6 linked regions of the Xenopus tropicalis genome follow. The protein of the gene in region 1 purifies or fractionates together with the protein of each later gene. This does not show direct contact. Links are inferred from orthologs where the notes say so. Each region holds a gene or a part of one and is shown in the gene's direction. Other genes may lie near its edges. The genes, in order: eif4a1, eif4e, npm1, ibtk, eif4g3 and eif3b.

Region 1 (3,968 bases):
GCCACTGCAAGCTGGCGGTGTGACGCCCCCCCAGGAGCCATTATTGCAGGGGACTCTGCGGAGCCTTTTTACTTGCAGCGGCCTCTCCGGGGGGGGGCTGCGCAGAGCGTCGTCTGTGTCCCCTTCCCGAGGGACCCTACTACCTGTTACCCCCGCGGGAGCCTCGCCCACCTGTACAGTGAAGGATTCTGTGGAGAAATGACATCCAGCGGGAGTCCCCGCCCCTCCGCCCGTTTCGCTGGTGGTCTTTCCTCGTCCTGTGCCCCCCCCTTTCCACGATATCCCCCCCCCCCCCCAAACACTTTATTCTTTGCCTACTTTTTTTTTTTACACAGTTCATTTCTTATTTAAATGTTTTCTGGGACAAATTTGTAGTTTTTTTTTTTTTTTTGTCAAAAAATAAAATGGAAAAAAAGCAGCTGAATAAAAAAGTTGTATAGTAATGTGTGTGTGTTGGTTCCTGTGTGGGAATGGGGTGCAATGGGGGGCTGAGGAGGCAGAGTGGGGGCCACACGGGAGCTATGGGTGCGGGGTGACTGGAATGGGGGGGGGGGGGGGGGGGGGGTTTCTTCGTTACACTTCCGGCTTTTGCTGCCTGAGGGGCACCGGAAACATTGAGTCCAATAAAGAATCAAAATGGGGGCCACAAACAGAATTACTATTAGGAAATGGCGCTCGGTGAATGGGTTTCTTACACAATAAATGTAAAAAAAAATGCTAAGGAATTCTGTCACATTGGAGCGGAAGTGACGCAGACGGCAGCTAGCCAACTGACGGAGAGAAGTAATTTAATGACAGGGCTGCCGCCTAATGAGCGCCAGCAGAGGTTGGCGGGACTGTGCGTCACGTGAGGACAGCGGGCCAATAGTAATCGCCGTTAGGGAAGTCTGCATGACAATGGGCGAGATTGCTGCCGTGGTGGGGAGGAGCTTGTCTTCCCCTAGAGCCAATCGGGATCTGAGCCGGTCAGACAGGGCGGTAAGCGCCGACCCCTTATTAAATATAAGCAGTGGCAGCCAATCGGCTTCGAGGCTTTCTTGAGCCGTCCTACCTGCTAAAGAAACGTCCCCTGAGCCGCCTTGGCGCTAACCAATCAGTAGCCTGAGGGGTGGAGCCGGCAGGAGGCTATATAAGGGACGGTCACCGGTTTGTTAGAAGCTTCCGCTCAGAAGAATGTCTGCGAGCTACGAGAGTCGGTGAGTGAGAGGGAGCGGCCTGGAGGCCTGGGGAGCGATACGGGGAGCGATACGGGGAGCGATACGGGTAACCAGGCAGGGAGAGTGAGGGCCGCGCTGTTCCCTGTTTATCCCCCCGCCCTGCCAGTGGCCGTTATCGGTAATCCAACTGCCGCCCTAGCCCCAACCCCTCCCTGTGTGCCGAGGCCTTCCCCAGCCGCGCCCGGAGCCGTTTCCCGCTGTACCGGAGGCCCAGTCTCGGCTCTACCCGGGCCCCTGGCGGCCCCTCAGCACTTTCCGTTCCCCCCACCCACGTGGGAGGTGTCATGGCGGCCCGGCGGCCCCTGTGTGTGAGGGAGTGGGGGGGGGGAGAGGACAAGATGGCGGCGGGGGGCGGAGTTACTGCTAAAATGGCGGCTGTTTCCGGCTCTGCACGTGGCTGGGGGATGGGGGTCACGGGGTAGGGGTAATTCTCTCTGCTGCCCCCCCGGGGCCCCCCAACACTCACAGGGGGTACGGGCTGTCATGTGACTCTGTGGGGCATTAACCCTTCCCTGCCTTATGGTATGGGGCATTAACCCTTCCCTGCCTTATGGTATGGGGCATTAACCCTTCCCTGCCTTATGGTATGGGGCATTAACCCCTCCCTGCCTTATGGTATGGGGCATTAACCCCTCCCTGCCTTATGGTATGGGGTATTAACCCTTCCCTGCCTTATGGTATGGGGCATTAACCCTTCCCTGCCTTATGGTATGGGGCATTAACCCCTCCCTGCCTTATGGTATGGGGCATTAACCCCTCCCTGCCTTATGGTATGGGGCATTAACCCCTCCCTGCCTTATGGTATGGGGCATTAACCCCTCCCTGCCTTATGGTATGGGGCATTAACCCCTCCCTGCCTTATGGTATGGGGCATTAACCCCTCCCTGCCTTATGGTATGGGGCATTAACCCCCCTGTATGCCCCTTAGTGTGGGGGGTAAATTCCCCCTGTATGCCCCTTAGTGTGGGGGGTAAATTCCCCCTGTATGCCCCTTAGTGTGGGGGGTAAATTCCCCCTGTATGCCCCTTAGTGTGGGGGGTAAATTCCCCCTGTATGCCCCTTAGTGTGGGGGGTAAATTCCCCCTGTATGCCCCTTAGTGTGGGGGGTAAATTCCCCCTGTATGCCCCTTAGTGTGGGGGGTAAATTCCCCCTGTATGCCCCTTAGTGTGGGGGGTAAATTCCCCCTGTATGCCCCTTAGTGTGGGGGGTAAATTCCCCCTGTATGCCCCTTAGTGTGGGGGGTAAATTCCCCCTGTATGCCCCTTAGTGTGGGGGGTAAGTTCCCCCTGTATGCCCCTTAGTGTGGGGGGTAAGTTCCCCCTGTATGCCCCTTAGTGTGGGGGGTAAGTTCCCCCTGTATGCCCCTTAGTGTGGGGGGTAAGTTCCCCCTGTATGCCCCTTAGTGTGGGGGGTAAGTTCCCCCTGCCTCTTAGTATGGGGTATAATCCCTCACCCCCAGCCCTACTGTATGCCCCTCAGTATGGGGTATAATCTCACCCCAGCCCCCTTAAAATGGGGGCATAAACACTCATTTGCCCCTGCCCTTTTATGTCCCCTTGGTATGTACTTACCCTGCCTCCTGTTGTATATGGCCCTAGTATGGGGGGGGGGGGTACAAGCCTTACTCAGTCCCTGGCCCTGGTATGGGGGGGGGGGGGGGTACAAGCCTTACTCAGTCCCTGGCCCTGGTATGGGGGGGGGGGTACAAGCCTTACTCAGTCCCTGGCCCTGGTATGGGGGGGGGGGTACAAGCCTTACTCAGTCCCTGGCCCTGGTATGGGGGGGGGGTACAAGCCTTACTCAGTCCCTGGTATGGGGGGGGGGTACAAGCCTTACTCTGTCCCTGGCGCTGGTATGGGGGGGGGGTACAAGCCTTACTCTGTCCCTGGCGCTGGTATGGGGGGGGGGGGTACAAGCCTTACTCAGTCCCTGGTATGGGGGGGGGGTACAAGCCTTACTCAGTCCCTGGCCCTGGTATGGGGGGGTACAAGCCTTACTCAGTCCCTGGCCCTGGTATGGGGGGGGGGGGTACAAGCCTTACTCAGTCCCTGGCCCTGGTATGGGGGGGGGGTACAAGCCTTACTCAGTCCCTGGCCCTGGTATGGGGGGGGTACAAGCCTTACTCAGGCCCTGGTATGGGGGGGGGGGGGTACAAGCCTTACTCAGTCCCTGGCCCTGGTATGGGGGGGGTACAAGCCTTACTCAGTCCCTGGCCCTGGTATGGGGGGGGGGGACAAGCCTTACTCAGTCCCTGGCCCTGGTATGGGGGGGTACAAGCCTTACTCAGTCCCTGGCCCTGGTATGGGGGGGGTACAAGCCTTACTCAGTCCCTGGCCCTGGTATGGGGGGGGGGGGGGACAAGCCTTACTCAGTCCCTGGCCCTGGTATGGGGGGGGGGGGTACAAGCCTTACTCAGTCCCTGGCCCTGGTATGGGGGGGGTACAAGCCTTACTCAGTCCCTGGCCCTGGTATGGGGGGGGGGGGTACAAGCCTTACTCAGTCCCTGGCCCTGGTATGGGGGGGGGGGTACAAGCCTTACTCAGTCCCTGGCCCTGGTATGGGGGGGGGGGGGTACAAGCCTTACTCTGGCCCTGGTATGGGGGGGGGTACAAGCCTTACTCAGTCCCTGGCCCTGGTATGGGGGGGTACAAGCCTTACTCTGGCCCTGGTATGGGGGGGGTACAAGCCTTACTCAGTCCCTGGCCCTGGTATGGGGGGGGGGGTACAAGCCTTACTCAGTCCCTGGTATG
Region 2 (4,137 bases), on another chromosome or scaffold:
GAAAGTCGTAAAGGTAAATCAGGCAGGCTTAGTTTCCCAGGCAAGGCCGCAGACAACATAGCACAGGAGGAGGAGTTTGATAGCTTTAAATACCCCCCACGCATACGCAGAACCGGCGCCATCAGCGCGTCACGGACGTGCACGCTTTGACATGTACGTGCGCTTTGACGCACGCGCACCTGGACGCGCGTGTGCAACGTCCCGCGGACAATAGGATGCACACGCAAGGAGGCGTGCGAGACCAGGCCGCACGGGTGAGTACCCTGACACCCCGGTATTGCGGTATCTGAAAAATTAATATAGTTTTTAAAAAAAACACCGGTATTCGGTATTAAACGGTATATCGCCCAGCCCTACCCATAATTCTATATGGTGCTTTGGACATCTGTTATAATAGTTGTTATTCATCAAAAGTAGTCTTACTGATGTATGATAGCTTCTGTAAACCTTTGAAATTAAATTTTAGGTGTAACCCTAAATTGTATAATGCAATTTTCTGGTGTCATTTTGTTTCGGGAAATACGTGTATTTATGGGTGAGAAGTAAATAATTTTAATAATTCAGTTCTTCAAGGCTGCGGCCACAATGTCAAATAGATGCACAGTAGTGTAACATAAGTTTTCTGTATGCCACAGCAATACTGAAACTGCTTATCATTCAGAGTTCCCCTGGTTCCCACCCTGTATAAACAGGGGCTTCCATTAGTCTTGGATCTGCTCTGTGGCTAAACCTCTCTGATGAGATATAAAAGCTTGGTGAGGGCAAAATAATTATTTAACTGCTCATGGTGAATTATAAAGTTTATATCTTATTATATAGCTACAAAAGTGGAAAATACAAATCAGAAAGCGATTTTAAAAATAAAACAGAACATTTTTACAAAAGGAAATGCTAGCAAAAGATGTTTACTTAATCGTTTGAGGAAAGAACTAAACTTTAGCCAAGTGCTCGGTATTGAAAGTACTGGGTGTGATTCACATCAGAAGCCAAGGCCACTTTAGGCATAAGTTACCAGCTGCCCTGCATATGTTGCACCTTTACATACACTTCCTTTGTGTCCTTCAACGTTAATGAAAGATCAGATGCCCGCCTACCAATGCCTTGCAAGTGACACAGAACCAAATCGTAATAGTAGTAGTTCCCAAGCGACCATTTACACTACAACTCCCAGCACCCCTTGCGCGGCCTCTCCCTCTTTACAGGTTGCTGGGCGGGGCTACGCAGACTCAGCTGTCGGCGGACGTCACGTGGCACGCCCCAAACCAACCGGGTTTGAAAGTAGTTTTTTTTTAACCTCCTCTTCTTTCCTGCCAGCGGCGGCTGTGCAGTCACAACCATCTAAAATGGCGTCTGTGGAGCCGGTGAGTAGATGCGTGACTCGTGTACAGGCAAACCCACAAGCACATGGTTTTAGATGTTGCTTTGGCGGAGCGACTGACACTTATTAAAGCAAGGGGGCGGCCAGGTCTCCGCTAGGCGCTCAGAAAGCCGAGGGAGGAGTCCAAAGTAACATGTTTCTGCTGTTCTAGGCGGCGGCGGCTGCTTTTACTGCAGCTACAGGCATCGTAGGGGATGCCGCGATCTTTGCCCCACCCTATGTCCCGGTCGCATTGCTAGGGGAATGGCTGCTACTTACACCGTGTGTGTGTGTGTGGGACACCCGTGCGCGCTCCCGCCCCCTCCATTATTGTACATGTGTGTGCGCGTCAGCATGTGACGAGGAGCCGGCTGGCCGCGTGGCGGGCACACACAGGGAGGCGAGACTTTTTGGCTGCACCGGCCATTTACGGGCGCGTCCCGGCATTCCAGTCCGAGTGCGCCGTGTCCATGTTGGGTTTGGTTACTGCGGCTAACCTGTCACTATTGCATCGATACCGTATTGCTTCTCTCATAAACTCCCCGCCCCCCATCGTGTTGCACAAGTTAATATGGCAGGGGTGTCCCCTCCTCCTCCAGCTTCTACTGCACGTTGCCTTACTCATTGAAAAGGCGCAGGCATATGTCTGTACATTCACTTCCTTGTAAGTCTCCTTTCCCTCACATGGGCAGCTGGCCGGCCTTGTCGCCAATAATCACACGCAGAAAGCCCACAAGGGGAATCTAGTGACTTATCTTTCAGCTCTTTTGCAGTCCCTGAAATTGAAAGAAGTTAGTCATTTTGTCTAATCACATGGTGTCGTCCCAGTAAAAATCACGTTTGTTGTAATAAGTAGAAACCTGATGCATGGCCAAAGAATGCACATGTCATGGCTGTGAAACACTACAGAGAATGGCATTGCATTTAATTGGCGTGACTGAGGGATTGTGACATGACTAGGTGGCTCCCTGGCTGCACAGTATTGCTTTTAATTAGAACTAGAAGAATGGGCACAGAAATTGGTACCGGTATGGGACCTGTAATCCAATGCCTGGGGACCTTGGGGTTTCCGGATAAGAGAGCTTTCCGTAATTTGAAACTCCATAACTTAAGTCTGCTAAGAATAATTTAAATATTGAATAAACCCAAAAGGATTGTTTTACCTCCAGTAAGGATTAATTATATCTTGGTTAGAATCAAGTACAGGTATGGGACCTGTTATCCAGAATGCTCATGACCTGGGGGTTTCCGGATAAGGGATCTTTCTGTAATTTGGATCTTCATAACTTAAGTCTGCTAAAAATCATTTAAATATTGAATAAGCCCAAATAGGACTGTTTTGCCTTCAATAAGGATTAATTATATCTTGGTTAGAATCAAGTAAAAGGTCCTGTTTTATAGTTACAGAGAAAAAGAAAATCATTTTTTAAAAATAAGAAATATTTGCTTAAAATGGAGTCTGTGGGAGACGGCCTTTCCGTAATTTGGATAATGGGTTTCCGGATAAGGGATCCCATACCTGTACCACAACAGTTGCATAGTTAGAGACACTGGCTACAGACATCAGCAAGTGCTAGTAATTCTCCTTGCAGCTATAAAACTAGATATTTATATATGTGTAGAAATATTTATGTGCGTATGATATTGTGGTGCGTTTTTTTTTCCTCAAGGCAGTCTGTGGTGGTGGGAATGCTTTGGGTTGTAATATCCGTACAGGCTGAAGTTGCTTAAAGTTTTTTTTTTTAATAAAGCAGTGTGTATTCAGTGTTGTGGGTCAGCCATATGCTATACTGCATGAATATTTTAAGACTGATGTCATACAAAAAAGTCTGAGTTCTGGAGCAGTTGAAAATTTTTGAAGGGTCGCGCCGATCCTAGTGACCTCCAGTTCTCCACTGGCTGAGAAGTGCTCATTCGCGGCCATTCAGTCTATTGTATACTTAGGTGTCTGTCATTTTTTGTAACAGGTGTATTTCAGTTTTGAATGGCTATATCCATAAAGATCCATTCATTGGTAGGGGGGGGGGGGGTCACTAGAACAAGCAGATTTTGCAACCCACAGGCTTTCTTTTTTTGTTTTTTTTTGAGCAGTCTTATTGGCCCGGCTTTAGTATGAAGGAAATAACATTCTGAAAAAATGTAGTAGCTATTCTTTAATCTACTATTTAGCACTTGTTGCTTTGTGATTTTGCTAGTTTATTTCTAAAACCTTTCACACACTTTTTACCCCCAAATGTATTGATTCTGTTACATGGAGCATTTCAGTCCTCTTGGACCTCCCAAGGACCAGATTTGGGAAATAAGCTAACACATTCACACGGGGATCACTTAATAACATGAGTGAGTGTAAGCTGTCCCTGGCTGCACCATAGTCTTATCAAGTTTCCCATTTAAATGAATTTGAATGGCTGCTGGAAGACAAGGGCATTTTGATCACTGGCTGGAATGCAGCATTCAAAAAGTAATCTGTGTTCTCATAATGTCTCCATTACAGTCTCAAGGTATATGTGGACCAATGCATCTTCCACGAAAATGCGCTTTAAGTGTGATGATTTGTCTTGTCTTGGCAGATCGATCTCGCAGGTTTCCTAGATTGTTGGATAGAGCAAATGTTTATTTGACATTAGTATATCAAGATCCCTTTTTGTTTCTCTCCAGGAGCATTTAAGCTAAATTTCACCTAGACTAGTCACTTATTAAGGGGACAATATACACTACTTTTTAACATAAACTCTGTGAATAGGGCATGTGCTAAACATACTTTTTCCTATTGTTAGTTA
Region 3 (3,500 bases), about 130 Mb from region 1:
CCCTCTTTTAGTGCCTTTGAGGGGGGGGAACTGGAGATGGGAGCTGACCAATTCAGTGCAGTGCTTAAATGCTGACTAACTTGTACTAAGAAAAGAAGAAAACGCATTGCTTCTGCTAAAAAAAATGATCCTTTATTAAAGGAACAGTAACACTAAAAATGAAAGTGTTTTAAAGTAATTAGAATATAATGTGGTGTTGCCCTGCACTGGTAAAATTAGTGTTGGCTACAGAGACTCTACTATAGGTTTATATAAATTAAGCTGCTGTGTAGCCATGGGGGCAGCCATTAAAGCTGGAAAAAGGGAGAAAAGGCACAGGTTACATAGCAGATAACAGATAAGCTCTGTAGAATATAATGGGGTTTTATCTGTTATCTGCTAACTTACCTGTGCCTTTTCTCATTTGAATGGCTGCCCCCATAGCTACACAGCAGCTTTGTTTATATAAACTATAGTTGTCCTTCTAAGGCAAACACACCAGTTGTACCAATGCAGGGCAACAGTATATTATATTGTAATTACATTTATACACTGTCAGATTTTGGTGTTACTGTTCCTTTAAGTTAGCATGAGTGGCTCCTGCGAAGCAAACGGCCTGGTGTGTTTCGGGAAAAATAATCATGGGATAGACCTATGGTTTAAGGGTCTTTCCTGAAAAGTGTCAGGCAGTAGCCACTCAACTTAATAAAGTTTAATCAAATGTATTTTAGTAGGAGTGCAGTTTTTTCTTGTGTGGTGGGTTTTTTTGTTGTCTGTGATGTCTAAATTCTTGTATGTATTTGCAGAAAAAAACACGTCTGGAGGAAGAGGACGAGGCTGATTCAGACGAGTATGTATATAGTGTGCTTTTCTTTATGCTTTGAGAGGAATTGCACTTCTTCAGGCACTGTCCTTTTCCACTGTTGGTTGCTATCGTTCTTTCCCTTAGTTTGTGTAATATTTTAGCTGTTGCAGAACAGCTCTCCTGGCAAAGCAATGTCCCCAAAGCTAACTAAACAGATTGCTCTGTGTGACAATCACCCCACTGAGAGGTTTGAATGTTTTTTTAAAAAAAAACAAAAAACCCCAGTGATTGTAATTGCTAACCTGAAACCCAGGGCTGGTACTCTTGTTAGGAGAAAACCGCACCGACCCGGGGTAGCTGCAAAGCCATGATCCTTTACCTTCTGTCTTCACGCCGCTTGCACAGTAAAGTGAAAAGCCGAACTTTATAACAAAACTGCTTTTTTACTCTACTGCACATGTGCCAGCCTCAGGATTCCCCAGGACAGGCAAGAGATTGAAAAGGATTGCTCATTTGCAGCTACTCTGGGCTGGTGATTTCTCCTAACAGGAGCACCAACCTGGGGTATAAAGTAAGCGATTCTCTGAATAATGAAATGAGATTTAAAGTTCTTATAAGATTTTCAAATAAACATTTATTACAACAAGAGGTAAGATAGAAGAGGAGAGAGGGTGAGCCTGGGGGGAGAAAGGCAGACATGCACCAAGCTCCTGTTGCAGCAAGGCTTCCCAGATTTTGTCAAGTGTACCCATAATAACCATACAGTAATTCACCTGCTTTACCTTTTTATTTAGGGATGATGATGATGATGACGATGATGAGGAGGAGGACGACGAAGATGAGGATGAAGAGGATGAAACACCTGTTAAAAAGGTAACTTGGTGACATTTGTATTTTTTTTCACTTTTGTTAACTGTTACAATGCAGTTACATACAAATATACTAACTGCAACCGGCTGTGACATCTGACATGCAAAAATCCACCAATCACAGGGTAGTACCTCTGTGTGACTCTCCCCCCCCCCCCCCCCAAACCATTTCATATTTGTTGTGCTGACTAGTTTACAACTGTAAAATGGGTAGTTCACCATCTAGACATTTTGTTATGGTTTCCACTGTTTTCTAATAGTTTGTCAGAACATGTTTGTTGTTTTTTAGTTTTGATTCTTGTGGGGTGGGGTCATTGATTCTGTAAACTTATCTAATTTGTTTAGTTTGAGCAAAAGGCAGGTTTTGTACAGGTATCAGACAGCTTCAGCATGAATAAGTATCCAGTTCTTGTGTCTTAGGTATTTTTAAATTTGCATTTCCTTTATAGACTGACTTGCCTACAAAACCAAAGGCAGCTCAAAAGTTAAATCACAATGGGAAGGCTTCTGAATTACCCACACCACTAAAGACTCCAAAAGTAAGTGGGGGGTGCCTAAACTGGGGAGCTGGTAAATCTAATTTAGACTGGAATCCCTGAGAAGCTTGCAATCAGGGTTTGGGTTGAAACAAAGTTACAAGTTTAAGTTTTACTTACACAAGGTCATTTTAAAAGTACCCACAGATCTTGATTATGCACTTTAAGCAATGTTGAAGCTGCTTCTACTTGATAACTAGCAGAGGTAGGGCCCCTGGTGTGCAACCCACCAGGAAACAGCAGTATCTACTGTTGTCTGTCCTGTACCATCTCTGATCCCCTCCAATATCAGATTTTAGATCCAGGGCCTTCTGTCTTCCTGTTTGTACCCAGGTAACTTGTGTGCCCACTACATAAACAGCCAAGTGTACAGAGTTCTATATCGTGTTCAGCCAAATTTTATTTTATTTATTTTTAAAGCAGTTGTCCTAAGATATGTATTCAAAAGTTCCCCCCAGGAAATGCCCCTAGAACTAAACATTGAGCTTGGGGAAGGCCTTTGAAACTCTGGTAAATGTGCCAAACCATATTACATTACAAAATTAAATATGCAGCCATTTCATGATTTTTAAAGTTGCTTAAAGTTTTGAAGATTGGGTGGAGTTCCCCTTTAAATGTAAATATTCTGATTTTCTGTTAAAAGTTTTTTTTTTTTTCTCCTTAGACTCCAGAGCAGAAAGGAAAGCAGGATACAAAGCCTCAAACACCAAAGACACCAAAAACGCCTTTGTCTTTTGATGAAATAAAAGCAAAGATGCAAACTTCATTAGAAAAGGTAATCTAAGTATGAATATAATTTTAATCTGAGCCAATATCAAGCTATCCTGAGGATAAGAAATTTACTTTGTTTTTTCACATCGGCCAAAAAGCTTAAACGGTTCAGTGTAAACATGCCTAACATTAATTCAGAACACTACATCAAGTCAATGGTTACTAACTGGTAATGGGTTAGAGACCTGCAAAGGAAATAGTAGTGTTCTGGCTATTTTAGACATTTTAAGATGTTAAAATGTGCATTCTCACTTTTGTTTCCTCAGGGCACTGTTCTTCCTAAAGTGGAAGTAAAGTTTGCAAACTATGTGAAGAATTGCTTTAGGACAGAAAATCAGAAGGTAAATTTTAAGGCTTTCGGTGCTTAAGAATTTGTATGGTTTATGGTAAATGCTAAAGACCCTTCAGCATGAATTGCATCACTAATGCAGCCTTACACAGGCAGAATTTATGAATTGATTGAATGCTGTAATTGTTAAACTGAGCTCTAGTCTGAAATGTATATTCAGTAATCTGAGTTAAGATGCAGTGTTCAGGCTG
Region 4 (3,500 bases), on another chromosome or scaffold:
GGTAAAAGGTAAGCGATTAAAGTCACTTGGGGGTGCCTAACATTTTGGCACCCCCAAGTGACTTAGCCTTTTCTTGTCCTTTTAAAGTATTCTGGAAAACTGCTATATCCACAAAAAACGTGATACTTGGAGATTGTTGGTGCATATCAACTCTGTGTGCCTGCACCCAGGCGCATTCATTGATTCTGGGTACAGGCTGACAATACGCCCCATGGGCCCTTGCACTAAAGCAGTCTCAAACTTCATCTTGGGTATTTTCCATGGTCAGTGTTCCCTCTAATTTCTTGGCTATGTGTGCAAACAGCTTGCAATTATGGAATCCAAAAAGACTGATTTAAGTTCCAGAGAACATGGTACTGGGCTTCATCTTACTTCATAATATTAAGCAAGTTTGTAACTTTGGAATGTTTATAATTTTTAATCTATACATTCTTTATTTATTGCACTGGAAAGTTGGATCAAGAACAAGTTTGTTTATAGGCCACTCTAAACCCTACTTAGTGCAGGGAAATACTAGTGCTGGTGAGCGATTTATGGAACATCTGTTAAGTCAGTGGACCAGGTTAAGGGACAGTTTCTACAAATGTTATGCCTAGAGTATTACATGATTCTCCATGTCTGTGTAAGCTGAATAAGTGGGAGAGGAATAAGCAGGGAGCTAAAAACATTTTCCATCTGGAAGTTACAAAAATGTCTTGTCATAAGGTTGCATTTATATTTATATGAATGTTTAACTTCCAGTTACACTGAAGAATGCAGCCGAACTCCTGGAAATTGCAGCCTTGTACAATGCTGACCAGCTGAAGCTTTCTTGCTTGCAGTTTATAGTGCTAAACATGGGAGCTTTACTAGAAGCAAGGTACGGGCAACATATTTATGTATTTTATTTCAGTAGTTCCACATGCTTTCCTTTTCCAGTTCATATCATTAATGTAATTGGAATGTTTCATTCTAGCTTTATAGATTCCTGTGTGTCTTTTCTTGTACATGTATAGGATCCGTTATCCAGAAAGCTCCAAATTACGGAAAGCCTTTCTCCCATAGACTCTATTTTAATCAAATAATTCAGATTTTTAAAATTGATTTCCTTTTTTCTGCAATAATTAAACAATACCTTGTATTTGATCCCAATTAAGATATAATTAATCCGTATTGGATGCAAAACATTCCCATTGGGTTTAATATCGTATTGATTTTTCAGTAGACTTAAGGTACGGAGAAAAAATTACAGAAAGACCCCTTATCCGGAATACCCTTGGTCCTGAGCATTCTGGATAACAGGTCCTATACCTGTACAGTGCAGTACATTTCTGTGTATTTCACACCCCAAATAATAGATGGACTGGGGCTTCCTAAGTGCTAGTTCTTCTGCTTAATAAAGCAAAACTTTAGTGTATGAATATCATTCTGCTCTGTTTAAACAGATAATGAAGATACTTATCAGATTCTATAAAATCATTTGATTTTTAAATACCTATACATGGGCAGAATGCATTGAAATACATATGCCTACACTCTGACAAAGCCACAGTCCCCTTTAAAGGTTTAATTAATAAAAATCATAAGCACAAACTGTGGTAGATAGTATTCATGGGGTGTTACACAGTAAAACTGGCAAATGTTTGTTTATGTTTAGCAACTCATCACATCAAGTGAAATCTAAATGCATTCAATACTTTATTGCTTTAAGGATTAATATTAGTAGTTATGGGGTCGTGGATCTGGACTACCTTTTGCCTTTGTTTCCACATAACCTGATGCATTAATACCACTAGCTGTCATTCAGTAGAGAAAAATACATTTTCCCATTTTTTACATTAGCTGTAGAAAAAAAGAAATATAAACAAATTCCACATTATGAAGTGAAAGGAAAGTAAGGGTGGCTTACTGCATTTTGCTATCACACAATACTTCCTAGTGGCTTACAAACAGTAGAAGTTTTAATGAAACAAAGCAACTTAAATTATATTCTTGCATGGCTACACAAGTATCATCTAACACATTTTTAGTGGCTTCCTTTAAAGTGAAGACATAAATCAGACCTTCAAAGCTAAAACCTTACTGGCAATTTTATGTTTATTGCACCTTTATTTTCTTTTCCTCCTCAGGTCTTTGGATGTTTTGAGTGATGATGTGTTGAAAGATCTCTCAGAAGCATATAGAAAAATGGTATTTCTTTTCTGTTGAGCTTTTTTTTTTATATAGTAATTTTAATATATAGGTTACCTATTACTTAATGTATAAGTTGTAGGTATCTGGCAACACCAGACCACTTTTTGGGCATGTTCACACACAGTGATACTATCTATAGTGTCTACAACTTGATTCATTATCCTATGCAGGTATTGGACCTGTTATCCAGAATGCTCAGGACCTGGAGTTTTTCCAGTTAAGGGATCTTTCCGTAATTTGGATCTTTATAACTTAAGTCTACTAAAAATCATTTCAATATTGAATAAACCGAGTAGGCTTGTTTTGCCTCAAATAAGGATTAATTATATCTTAGTTGGGATCAAGTACAAGGTACTGTTTTATTATTACAGAGAAAAAGGAAATTATTTTTAAAAATTAGAATTATTTGGTTATAATGGAGTCTGTGGGAGATGGCCTTTTCGTAATTCGGAACTTTCTGAATATTGTGTTTTCGGATAAGGAATCCCATACCTGTACTCATATTTTAGTGCTAAAGTGTAATTGAAGTAGATTCTGTATGTATATATCTTTTTTGGGGGTTCTGTTCAGACACACCAGGATTTAATCAATAGTCCCTCTTTTTATTGTTTTTGTGTGTGTTTATACAGATTCCACCCATGAACAAGAGAATAATCACACCATATCTGGATGGGCCAGATGTTAGTATCTTACAGTCTGAAGATATTAAAAGCCTTGTCTCTGTTCAGGATGATATTTATTCTTACCAAAACACTCAGTAAGAATACAATTTAATTATTGTAGCTTGAGGGGAAACATTCTAATGCTTGAAATTTGTAATCCGGGGGGGGAAGCAAAATCTACATAACTGAAAAAAATGTCAATTTTGCTCTTGGCATATTGTACCACAGTTGTAAATGAGCCTTGTTGTTGTCCATTTATGCTGGAATTCTGGGAGAAAAATCTGCACTGTGGGTAAACAGCTTGGCAATATGCTTCGGAACATTGAATTGTGTTGATAAATGAGTCTACAGTGAAATCAGCAGTATTTAAGGTGAACTTAACTGTAGTTACCAAGCAAATGCTAAATAAATGTCTTTTATAGGGAAGCTGCATTTAAAAAATCTAAGGCAAAAGCCAAAAAGAAGCCAAGAAAACGTTTGGATAGCTCTGGAGGATACAATCTTTCTGACATCATTCACAGTTCACCTTCGACAGGTATTTGTGTGTTTTGTTGAGTATTTGAGTTATTTTTTTTTTTCATACTGATGAAAGGATAAATGCAAGAGCCATATTGAAGCAAAGTATACTTGCTGTGTGATCAGGCTTCACTGAGAGATCTGTATGGG
Region 5 (3,500 bases), on another chromosome or scaffold:
AGAGCTCTGATTCTCTGTACTTCCTGCTCCTGGGCTGCTCTCTTTCCCATGGTCAGACAGGCCCCCCCCCCTGGGTAAGTGAATCCAATCTCCCCCCAGTACTTACCCAGGTACAGAGCTCTGATTCTCTGTACTTCCTGCTCCTGGGCTGCTCTCTTTCCCATGGTCAGACAGGAATATAACATGACATTGTGTTTCTCAGTTAATGGCTAATACCCACTCTGTTACAGCCACGTATGGATCAGTACTTTAACCAGATGGAGAAGATCGTTAAGGAGAGAAAAACCTCGTCTAGAATCCGCTTTATGCTGCAGGATGTCATAGACCTCCGGCTGGTGGGTGGAGCCATAATAATAATATAGTGCTCCCTGTCCCCCCCCCCCAGTTTATGTCTTTTGTGCAATGAGATAAGAATGTCGCCCTTTCGGCAGAGTAACTGGGTGTCCCGCCGGGCAGACCAGGGGCCCAAGACCATCGAGCAGATCCATAAAGAGGCCAAGATAGAGGAACAGGAGGAGCAGAGGAAAGTGCAGCAGTTAATGACCAAAGAGAAGAGGAGACCAGGTAAGGAGAGGCACCGCGGCCCCAACGTCCCCCTGCGGGGGGGCCTTATCCCTTTCAGGCAGCAGGGGGCGCTGTGCTTACAGCCTGTGCTTGTCCCCAGCAGGGGTGCAGAGAGTGGATGAAGGCGGATGGAACACTGTGCAGGGGGCAAAGAATAACAGGGTGCTGGACCCTTCCAAGTTTCTGAAAATCACTAAGGTAAGGAGGCTGCCCCCTCCCGTGGCACTGAGCTCAGCCCATGCCTTGTTGCTTTGGTTAGGGGGTTCCTCCGATAAATCTGTGCCAGCCTTGCCCGCAGTTACTGGATTAATTACCCCCCTCCTCTGTGGTATCTGTAGAGTGCTAGCTTCTCGTTCTCCTGTATGTGCCCTTCTGAGTGACGCCCTGGCATCTCTCCCCTGGCATCTCTCCTGGCACAGCCTTACAGGTCTCTGCGTGTATTACAGGGCATTCAGGGTGTGCCCAGGGGATTTTGTATTTACCCCCCCTCTCTTTTTTGCCCTCAGCCCACTATAGATGAGAAGATCCAGTTGGTTCCCAAAGCTCAGCCTGGCAGCTGGTTAAAGGGGAGCAGCGGAGGTGCCAAGGCTAGTGAGACTGGTAAGAGCTCAGGCTTCCCTCTCTGGGCTGGGGTAGTTAGTAGCCACAAACCCCACGTGCCCCCCCAGCTAATGCATTGCTCATTGTCTGTTCTGTTAGAATCTCTGAGACCGGGAGCCCCCAGCCTGAACAGGTTCTCTGCTCTGCAGCAGCCGCTCTCCTCTGTGTCTTCCTCCTCCTCATCGTCCCCCTCTGAGCTGGACTCTCGCAGGTTACTAACCAGGTAATGTGGCCCTCACATTGCTCTGTGGCCCCTCGCATTGGTCGGTGTCCCATTTTGTATCCTCCCCCACTGCTGCTAGACCTTGGGCATTGTGTTCCTAATTAAAGGGGAAGTAGAACCCACACCTATAAAGCTGCTGAATAAACATGAAACCCAAATTCTTTTTTTTTTTTTTTTTTTTTTCAATGAAAACCCCCAAACCTGTTATAAAGAGATTTAGTCATCTCAGTTGTCAATCAAATATAGCCTGCCCCGCCTCCGTGCCTCAGGCACCTCCTTCTCTTCCCATTTTACACTTACTGCAGGGAACTGCCCCCTCCTCTGCCTATAGTTGGGCACTAGGCCAAAGCCTTAGGAACAGCGCCACAAACTGGCACCTACCTGCCCGCTGTGACTCCCAGGACCCTCTACGAATTCTTTCAATAAATCTGAGGTGCGCAGCATCTGGCGCAGGGAGGTATCACAGGCCTGGTCTCAGCATTGGCTCCTCCCTCCCTATTGTTGGGAGGGGCTTGCCCCAATGGTTCTGGTGGGTAACCAGCTTCCTTCTTTGTGGGCACTTGGAAACCAGGAAGCATTTGCTGATGATCATGGGAGTTGTAGTGATGACCTGATACTAGAACATGTGACCTGACCGTTGTTTTGGGGTTTAGCAGCCGTGGAAGCACGGGGCGAGAGAAGAACGACAAACCCTCTGCGCCCTCCTCCATCCCGTCTGCGCCCCGACCCGGCACCCTCCTGCGCGGCAGCAGCAAAGACTCGGCCGACAATCAGGAAGAGCTGCGCCGGGAGACGCTCCAGACGGTCAAACAGCTGACGAACGTCGCCGAACCCGACAAGAACACTGTGCCAGAGAGACGGCCCAAAGAGCCAGGTGAGACCCTGCGGTTCTGCAGATAAGCTCCGCCCCAAGCCAGGACCCTTGTCTGTGTGAATCATTAGGGGGCGTGGCTATTTCCACCATTTTACTCACACAGATTTATCATTTCCCAGCCAAGTCCGAGCCGTCGGAACCAGACAAACCCACCCTGTCAGAGGAGGAGATGGAGAGGAAATCCAAGGCCATCATTGATGAGTTTCTCCATATTAATGACTACAAGGTACTGTGTGTGTGTGGGAGGGCGGCCCGGTGGGTTGCAATAAGGGCACGAGAAGCCTGGGTGGGTCCAATGGGTGCATATGGCTTTCCCAGACTCCTCCCCTTCCCGATCATTGGTCGCTAGAACCTTCTCCCTGTGTCTCCGCCCATCAGGAGGCCATGCAGTGCGTCGAGGAGCTCGGTGCCAATGGGCCGCTCTCAGTCTTCGTACGACAGGGGGTGGAGTCAACGCTGGAACGGAGTCAGATCACCAGGGATCACATGGGTCAGCTCCTCTACCAGCTGGTCCAGTCTGGCAAACTCAGCAAACTGGACTTCTTCACTGGGTGAGTTTTAATCGCTGGTTTTGTTCTGTTGGGGCTGCGTTAGTACGACTTTAATGTTGCTATGGAAGCGTGGGCACTAGCTGTATCCTGGCCATGACCATAGGGGGGCGGTCTTTTGCTTATGGGTTTGGGTCACAACGTTCTGTGCCAACGCCGCAGGTTCTCGGAAACGCTGGAGCTGGCCGACGACATGGCGATCGACATCCCGCACATCTGGCTGTACCTGGCGGAACTGGTAACCCCCATGTTGAAAGAAGGCGGGATCTCTCTACGAGAGCTGATAACGTGAGTGGGGGGGAATGAAGTTTGTATAGGAGGCGGGACTTAGGGCGATAAGGCAATTACAGCCATGAACCCTGGGCTTTCTTATCATCTGTCAGGAATCTCATACCAAGGGCCACGCAGTCTCCTCTATCCGTTAGGGCCCCATCTGGATTATTTAGTCCCCAAATTCCCCCAGCGTGGCACCATGGCAATGTGGCTCCTCCCATTAACTGCTTTTTCCTACACAGAGAGTTCGGCAAAGCTCTGCTCCCTGTGGGACGCGGAGGGGAATTATTGTCGGAAATATTGCACCTTCTATGCAAACAAATGGTACGTACCGGCTTTCCCAGCGATAGATGGGGGGGGGGGGGCGTTAGGTCTTTCTGTCCCAGTGAGTGGGCCGAGTACCTATTTGGGGTGCTCC
Region 6 (3,975 bases), on another chromosome or scaffold:
ACTGGAGCCCAAAACTGCACTGCATACTCAAGGTGAGGCCTTACCAGAGACCTATAAAGGGGCAAAATTATGTTTTCATCACTTGAGTCAATGCCATTTTTTATACAAGGCAGCACTTTATTTGCTTTAGTAGCCACAGAATGACACTGCCTGGCATTACACAACTTATTATCTATAAAAAAAACCCAGATCCTTCTCCATTAAGGATACCCCCAACAAACTACCATTTAGTAGATTGCTTGTGTTTATATTATTTTTACCAAAATGCATAACTTTGCACTTGCCCACATTGAACCTCATTTTCCAGTTAGCTATTTAGTTTTCCAGTTTTGTCAAATCGCTCTGCAAAGTGGCTGCATCCTACACGGAACTTATAGTTTTGCACAATTTAGCGTTCTAGGCCAATATTCCTCAATGTTATCATTAACCTTCTGTGAGGTACTGTATCATACGCTTTTTCAAAGTCCAAGTACATGACATCAAAAATACCAGCAGACAAAATATCCATCTCCAGGCACCGTTTGTAATGTTATTTTATTTAAAGAATCCTATAGTTGGTATACAAGGGCAGATTGTCTGCTGCTGTTTTCCACCACAAACCTTTACTAAAAAAATTAATTTACATTACAACCCATGCAGGTCTTTAACTGAAAAGATAATATAACTGCAAACCATCCTCTGTATATTTGTAAAGTATAAAACGCTGGCATATTACAGCAATTGTATGCCAAGTTAAACGTGAACAAATGCACTTGAATCAAATCCTAGTTACCGCCCAAAGTTAAAAAAAAAGTACTAAAGCTGTGCATTGATACAACTAGCTTGGCCCCTGCATTAGCATTCCGGAAGTTGTAGTTAGTCGTACCCAGCCAGTACTAGCCATTTAGCTACATTGAGCGCAGTCACTTCCTCCATGTTGGACTAAACCATTTGTAATTGAAAAAGGGGAGGCGCTCACTTTGGCTTAAATCATTTAAGCCTCATATTTCTTTTAACAGCAAGAACACAAAATACAGAGATAATTCCTTTGTGGTTAATATATCGCGCGTTGGGTTTGACATCACGCAAGTTGAATTGAGTGATCTCGCCACCCCTGTCTCCTGCCTTGGTTAGCTCCTTTTCCGCCGGTGCCCGGTACAGCGCACATGGCCTGTTAGTAGCGCCAAGCCTTGCGTTCTCTTTATTCTCGGGGAGAAACGAATTCCAACCACGGAGAGACGCAAGAATCCAACGTAGGTAGAACAGAGACAAACAGGAAAGTGCCGAGGAATGCTGGAGAGCGAACGACCCGAGAGAGACATGGAGGAGGAAGAGTCCACCGAGGAGGAGGAGGAAGAAGGGATGTCCTTTAGCGATCCGGAGGGATTCGAGGACGATATCAGTGAAGAGGGTGAGTGAGGGCTTTCTAGAATGTTGGCTCTGGACAATATTGGGTACTTAGGCCTGCATGTTGCGTTCTTTTTAGGGCAGTGCTTCTGCTTATGCAGTACCCATAAGGCCTGTGTGTGAAAAGATGGGGGCCCCTGGCAGTGCAGAAAGAATGTGGCCTCTTATCAGAGGGATGGAATTGGATTCATTATAGATGTTATTGTTGCTGTACTCCCAGCTGGTAATTTCCCTGCTTGGTGCTAAAAACCTTTCAGCCTTCAGTTACAGCTGGAAGCCTGCAGGTTGGGCGGACATCCCTGATGTGCATCCTGAGAACGGCTAACAGCTGCCGCATCGCACAATATGTCCTTTGTACCTGGGATTGGTGTGGGGAGTTGTAGTTTGATAGCAGCCAGCTATGCTGCACTGTCACACCCTTTCATGGTTATTTTTGTGCCCTAACACAACACCCCAGTTATCAAGCAATTTTGAAATAAACAAAGCTTGAGCAGATGGGGCCCCACTGGCTGCCGAGCAGCATTTTTATTTTAACTCGTAGCAAAAACAAGCCCTCTGTTTTTTTCAGGCTTGGTATTTAGATTTTTTTGTTGTTGATATGAGGTATTTATCCTAAAGGTGCCCATACACGTTAAGATCCGCTCGCCAAGCAAGTGGATCTTCTCCCGATATCCCCCACCTATGGGTGGGGGATATCGGGAAAATGTAGGCTAATTTGATTGATTAAATTCTAACGGCAGCAATGGCACAGCCAGTTCGGGGATCGTCCCTGATCTGACTAAATCTTTTAACCTGCCCGATCGATATCTGGGCAATTTCAGGCCAGATATTGGTTGGGCAGGCCTGTCGTTTCTGCCCCTACACGGCCCGATAAGCTGCCGAATCAGTCCAAAGGACCGATATCTGCAGCTACAACCAGCCCGTGTATGGCCACCTTAACAAACAGTCAACAGTTAGGAAGTCTCAATGACCGTGAGGATATAGAAAATCAGGATCTTAAAATAAAGATAAGCAAACCAAGTTCTAACAGCCACCAAATGTAATCCTCAAAGTCAGTGTCTTTGGGTGAAGACGCACAGAGCTACGAGTAGCAGCTACATCAAAGCCAGTGATGGAGAAAACTGCTTTAATAGCAATTATGTACAATTTTAAAATGTAAATAAAATATTTAATTGAGCATTCTTTAGAATTGCCTTCATAATGCACAAAAGCCTATTTTGGAGGGGATGACAAACGCTGCTTTTAATAGCAGTAATATCTATAAACAACTTTAAAACAATTACACATTTGTAATTAATGTAAATTGCAAAGTTTGCTTAGAATTGTTTTCTTTTATTAGGCAAAACGTTTTTTGGGGTTGACATGTCAAAAAACGTGCTCAGGTCATATTGGCATCACTTTTTCTCTTTTCTGTACAGCATTGCAGCATACACTGGTGCATTATAACTAAAGTTGGTACTAGATACCCCTCTTAATTAAAGGAACAGTAACACCAAAAAATTAAAGTGTATAAAAGTAACTAAAATATAATGTGCTGCTGCCCTGCACTGGTAAAAGTTGTGTGTTTACTTCAGAAAGTCTACTATAATTTATATAAATAAGCTGCTATGTAGCCATGGAGGCAGCCATTCAAAGGAGAAAAGGCACAGGCACTTAGCAGATAACAGATAAAACACCATTGTATTCTACAGAACTTATTTGTTATCTGCTATGTAACCTGTGCCTTTTCTCCTTTTTTCCAGCTTGAATGGCTGCCCCCCTGGCTACACAGCAGCTTATTAAATCAATTATAGTAGTGTTACTGTAACAAACACACCAGTTTTACTATTGCAGGGCAACAGTGCATTATATTTTATTACTTTAAAGCTCTTTCATTTTTTGGTGTTACTGTTCCTTTAAGAAGGGAGGAAGAAAGTGAACAGTAGTTCTTATCTTTCTGTAACAGCATGTATGTCAATGTTGTCAGTTAGGCAAGTTTATCTCCTTGTTGTACAATGTCCCAATGCTTTTCTGCTTCATGAATGAAGAGCAATAATAATGTATGTTAGTCCAATATGTAATTTTGTAAGGGTGTGTCGTCTGTTTCTGAGCAGTGTATCACTTGATTTATAGCTGGGAGTTACCTGGTTGCTAGAGTAGGTGTGCTTAGTTACCTCTTATGGACAAAGACTGCATGCTGTAATTAGGTGCCCAAACCTTAGGCTAATGTCAGACCAGGTATGGCGTATATATTTTCGGCAAGTTGAAAAACGCTTGCCAAAAATATATACGCCATACGCCTGGTTTGACAATGGCCTTACACTCAGGGCATTCCACAACTTCGCTGCCCTTACCATGAAGAACCACCTACCCGGTATTGAACGTTTTTATGGGAAAGAATGCCATAATGCCTTCTAATATACTTATAAAGAGTAATCCAATCCCAGCCTTGATAGTCTGCTCTAATAATTATATAATGTGTCAGTATGACTTGCTTTATCAAGTTTAAAAAGGTTACTTTATGTCTGAAAAATGCTCAGAAAAGCCAAATTAACTTTTTAAATTGTTTAATCGGGCACTGTATAAGATTTGTTCATTCCTTTTGAAGCA

Evidence for each region.
Region 2: the proteins of eif4a1 (region 1) and eif4e purify together in Homo sapiens (affinity purification with mass spectrometry; 8 studies listed by BioGRID and IntAct, counting the BioPlex papers as one, with this or other methods). This does not show direct contact. The link is inferred for Xenopus tropicalis from reciprocal best matches to the Homo sapiens genes EIF4A1 and EIF4E.
Region 3: the proteins of eif4a1 (region 1) and npm1 purify together in Homo sapiens (affinity purification with mass spectrometry; 3 studies listed by BioGRID and IntAct, with this or other methods). This does not show direct contact. The link is inferred for Xenopus tropicalis from reciprocal best matches to the Homo sapiens genes EIF4A1 and NPM1.
Region 4: the proteins of eif4a1 (region 1) and ibtk purify together in Homo sapiens (co-immunoprecipitation; 4 studies listed by BioGRID and IntAct, counting the BioPlex papers as one, with this or other methods). This does not show direct contact. The link is inferred for Xenopus tropicalis from reciprocal best matches to the Homo sapiens genes EIF4A1 and IBTK.
Region 5: the proteins of eif4a1 (region 1) and eif4g3 purify together in Homo sapiens (co-immunoprecipitation; 6 studies listed by BioGRID and IntAct, counting the BioPlex papers as one, with this or other methods). This does not show direct contact. The link is inferred for Xenopus tropicalis from reciprocal best matches to the Homo sapiens genes EIF4A1 and EIF4G3.
Region 6: the proteins of eif4a1 (region 1) and eif3b purify together in Homo sapiens (affinity purification with mass spectrometry; 4 studies listed by BioGRID and IntAct, counting the BioPlex papers as one, with this or other methods). This does not show direct contact. The link is inferred for Xenopus tropicalis from reciprocal best matches to the Homo sapiens genes EIF4A1 and EIF3B.

What each region holds. Positions count from the first base shown.
Region 1 is NC_030679.2:152,592,812-152,596,779, reverse strand, and holds the start of eif4a1 (eukaryotic initiation factor 4A-I), read left to right. Parts: upstream 1-1,168; 5' UTR 1,169-1,173; coding exon 1,174-1,196; intron 1,197-3,968. UniProt on the Homo sapiens protein: ATP-dependent RNA helicase which is a subunit of the eIF4F complex involved in cap recognition and is required for mRNA binding to ribosome.
Region 2 is NC_030677.2:74,891,105-74,895,241, forward strand, and holds the start of eif4e (eukaryotic translation initiation factor 4E), read left to right. Parts: upstream 1-1,337; 5' UTR 1,338-1,343; coding exon 1,344-1,361; intron 1,362-4,137. UniProt on the Homo sapiens protein: Acts in the cytoplasm to initiate and regulate protein synthesis and is required in the nucleus for export of a subset of mRNAs from the nucleus to the cytoplasm which promotes processes such as RNA capping, processing and splicing.
Region 3 is NC_030679.2:20,070,074-20,073,573, forward strand, and holds part of npm1 (nucleophosmin), read left to right. Parts: intron 1-785; coding exon 786-829; intron 830-1,578; coding exon 1,579-1,657; intron 1,658-2,102; coding exon 2,103-2,192; intron 2,193-2,853; coding exon 2,854-2,964; intron 2,965-3,226; coding exon 3,227-3,301; intron 3,302-3,500. UniProt on the Homo sapiens protein: Involved in diverse cellular processes such as ribosome biogenesis, centrosome duplication, protein chaperoning, histone assembly, cell proliferation, and regulation of tumor suppressors p53/TP53 and ARF.
Region 4 is NC_030681.2:88,869,423-88,872,922, forward strand, and holds part of ibtk (inhibitor of Bruton tyrosine kinase), read left to right. Parts: intron 1-741; coding exon 742-859; intron 860-2,108; coding exon 2,109-2,169; intron 2,170-2,801; coding exon 2,802-2,929; intron 2,930-3,256; coding exon 3,257-3,369; intron 3,370-3,500. UniProt on the Homo sapiens protein: Acts as an inhibitor of BTK tyrosine kinase activity, thereby playing a role in B-cell development. Down-regulates BTK kinase activity, leading to interference with BTK-mediated calcium mobilization and NF-kappa-B-driven transcription.
Region 5 is NC_030683.2:132,837,518-132,841,017, forward strand, and holds part of eif4g3 (eukaryotic translation initiation factor 4 gamma 3), read left to right. Parts: intron 1-230; coding exon 231-335; intron 336-431; coding exon 432-564; intron 565-664; coding exon 665-762; intron 763-1,070; coding exon 1,071-1,164; intron 1,165-1,263; coding exon 1,264-1,387; intron 1,388-2,040; coding exon 2,041-2,261; intron 2,262-2,380; coding exon 2,381-2,487; intron 2,488-2,639; coding exon 2,640-2,812; intron 2,813-2,971; coding exon 2,972-3,097; intron 3,098-3,324; coding exon 3,325-3,406; intron 3,407-3,500. UniProt on the Homo sapiens protein: Component of the protein complex eIF4F, which is involved in the recognition of the mRNA cap, ATP-dependent unwinding of 5'-terminal secondary structure and recruitment of mRNA to the ribosome. Functional homolog of EIF4G1.
Region 6 is NC_030685.2:31,106,362-31,110,336, forward strand, and holds the start of eif3b (eukaryotic translation initiation factor 3 subunit B), read left to right. Parts: upstream 1-1,175; 5' UTR 1,176-1,299; coding exon 1,300-1,390; intron 1,391-3,975.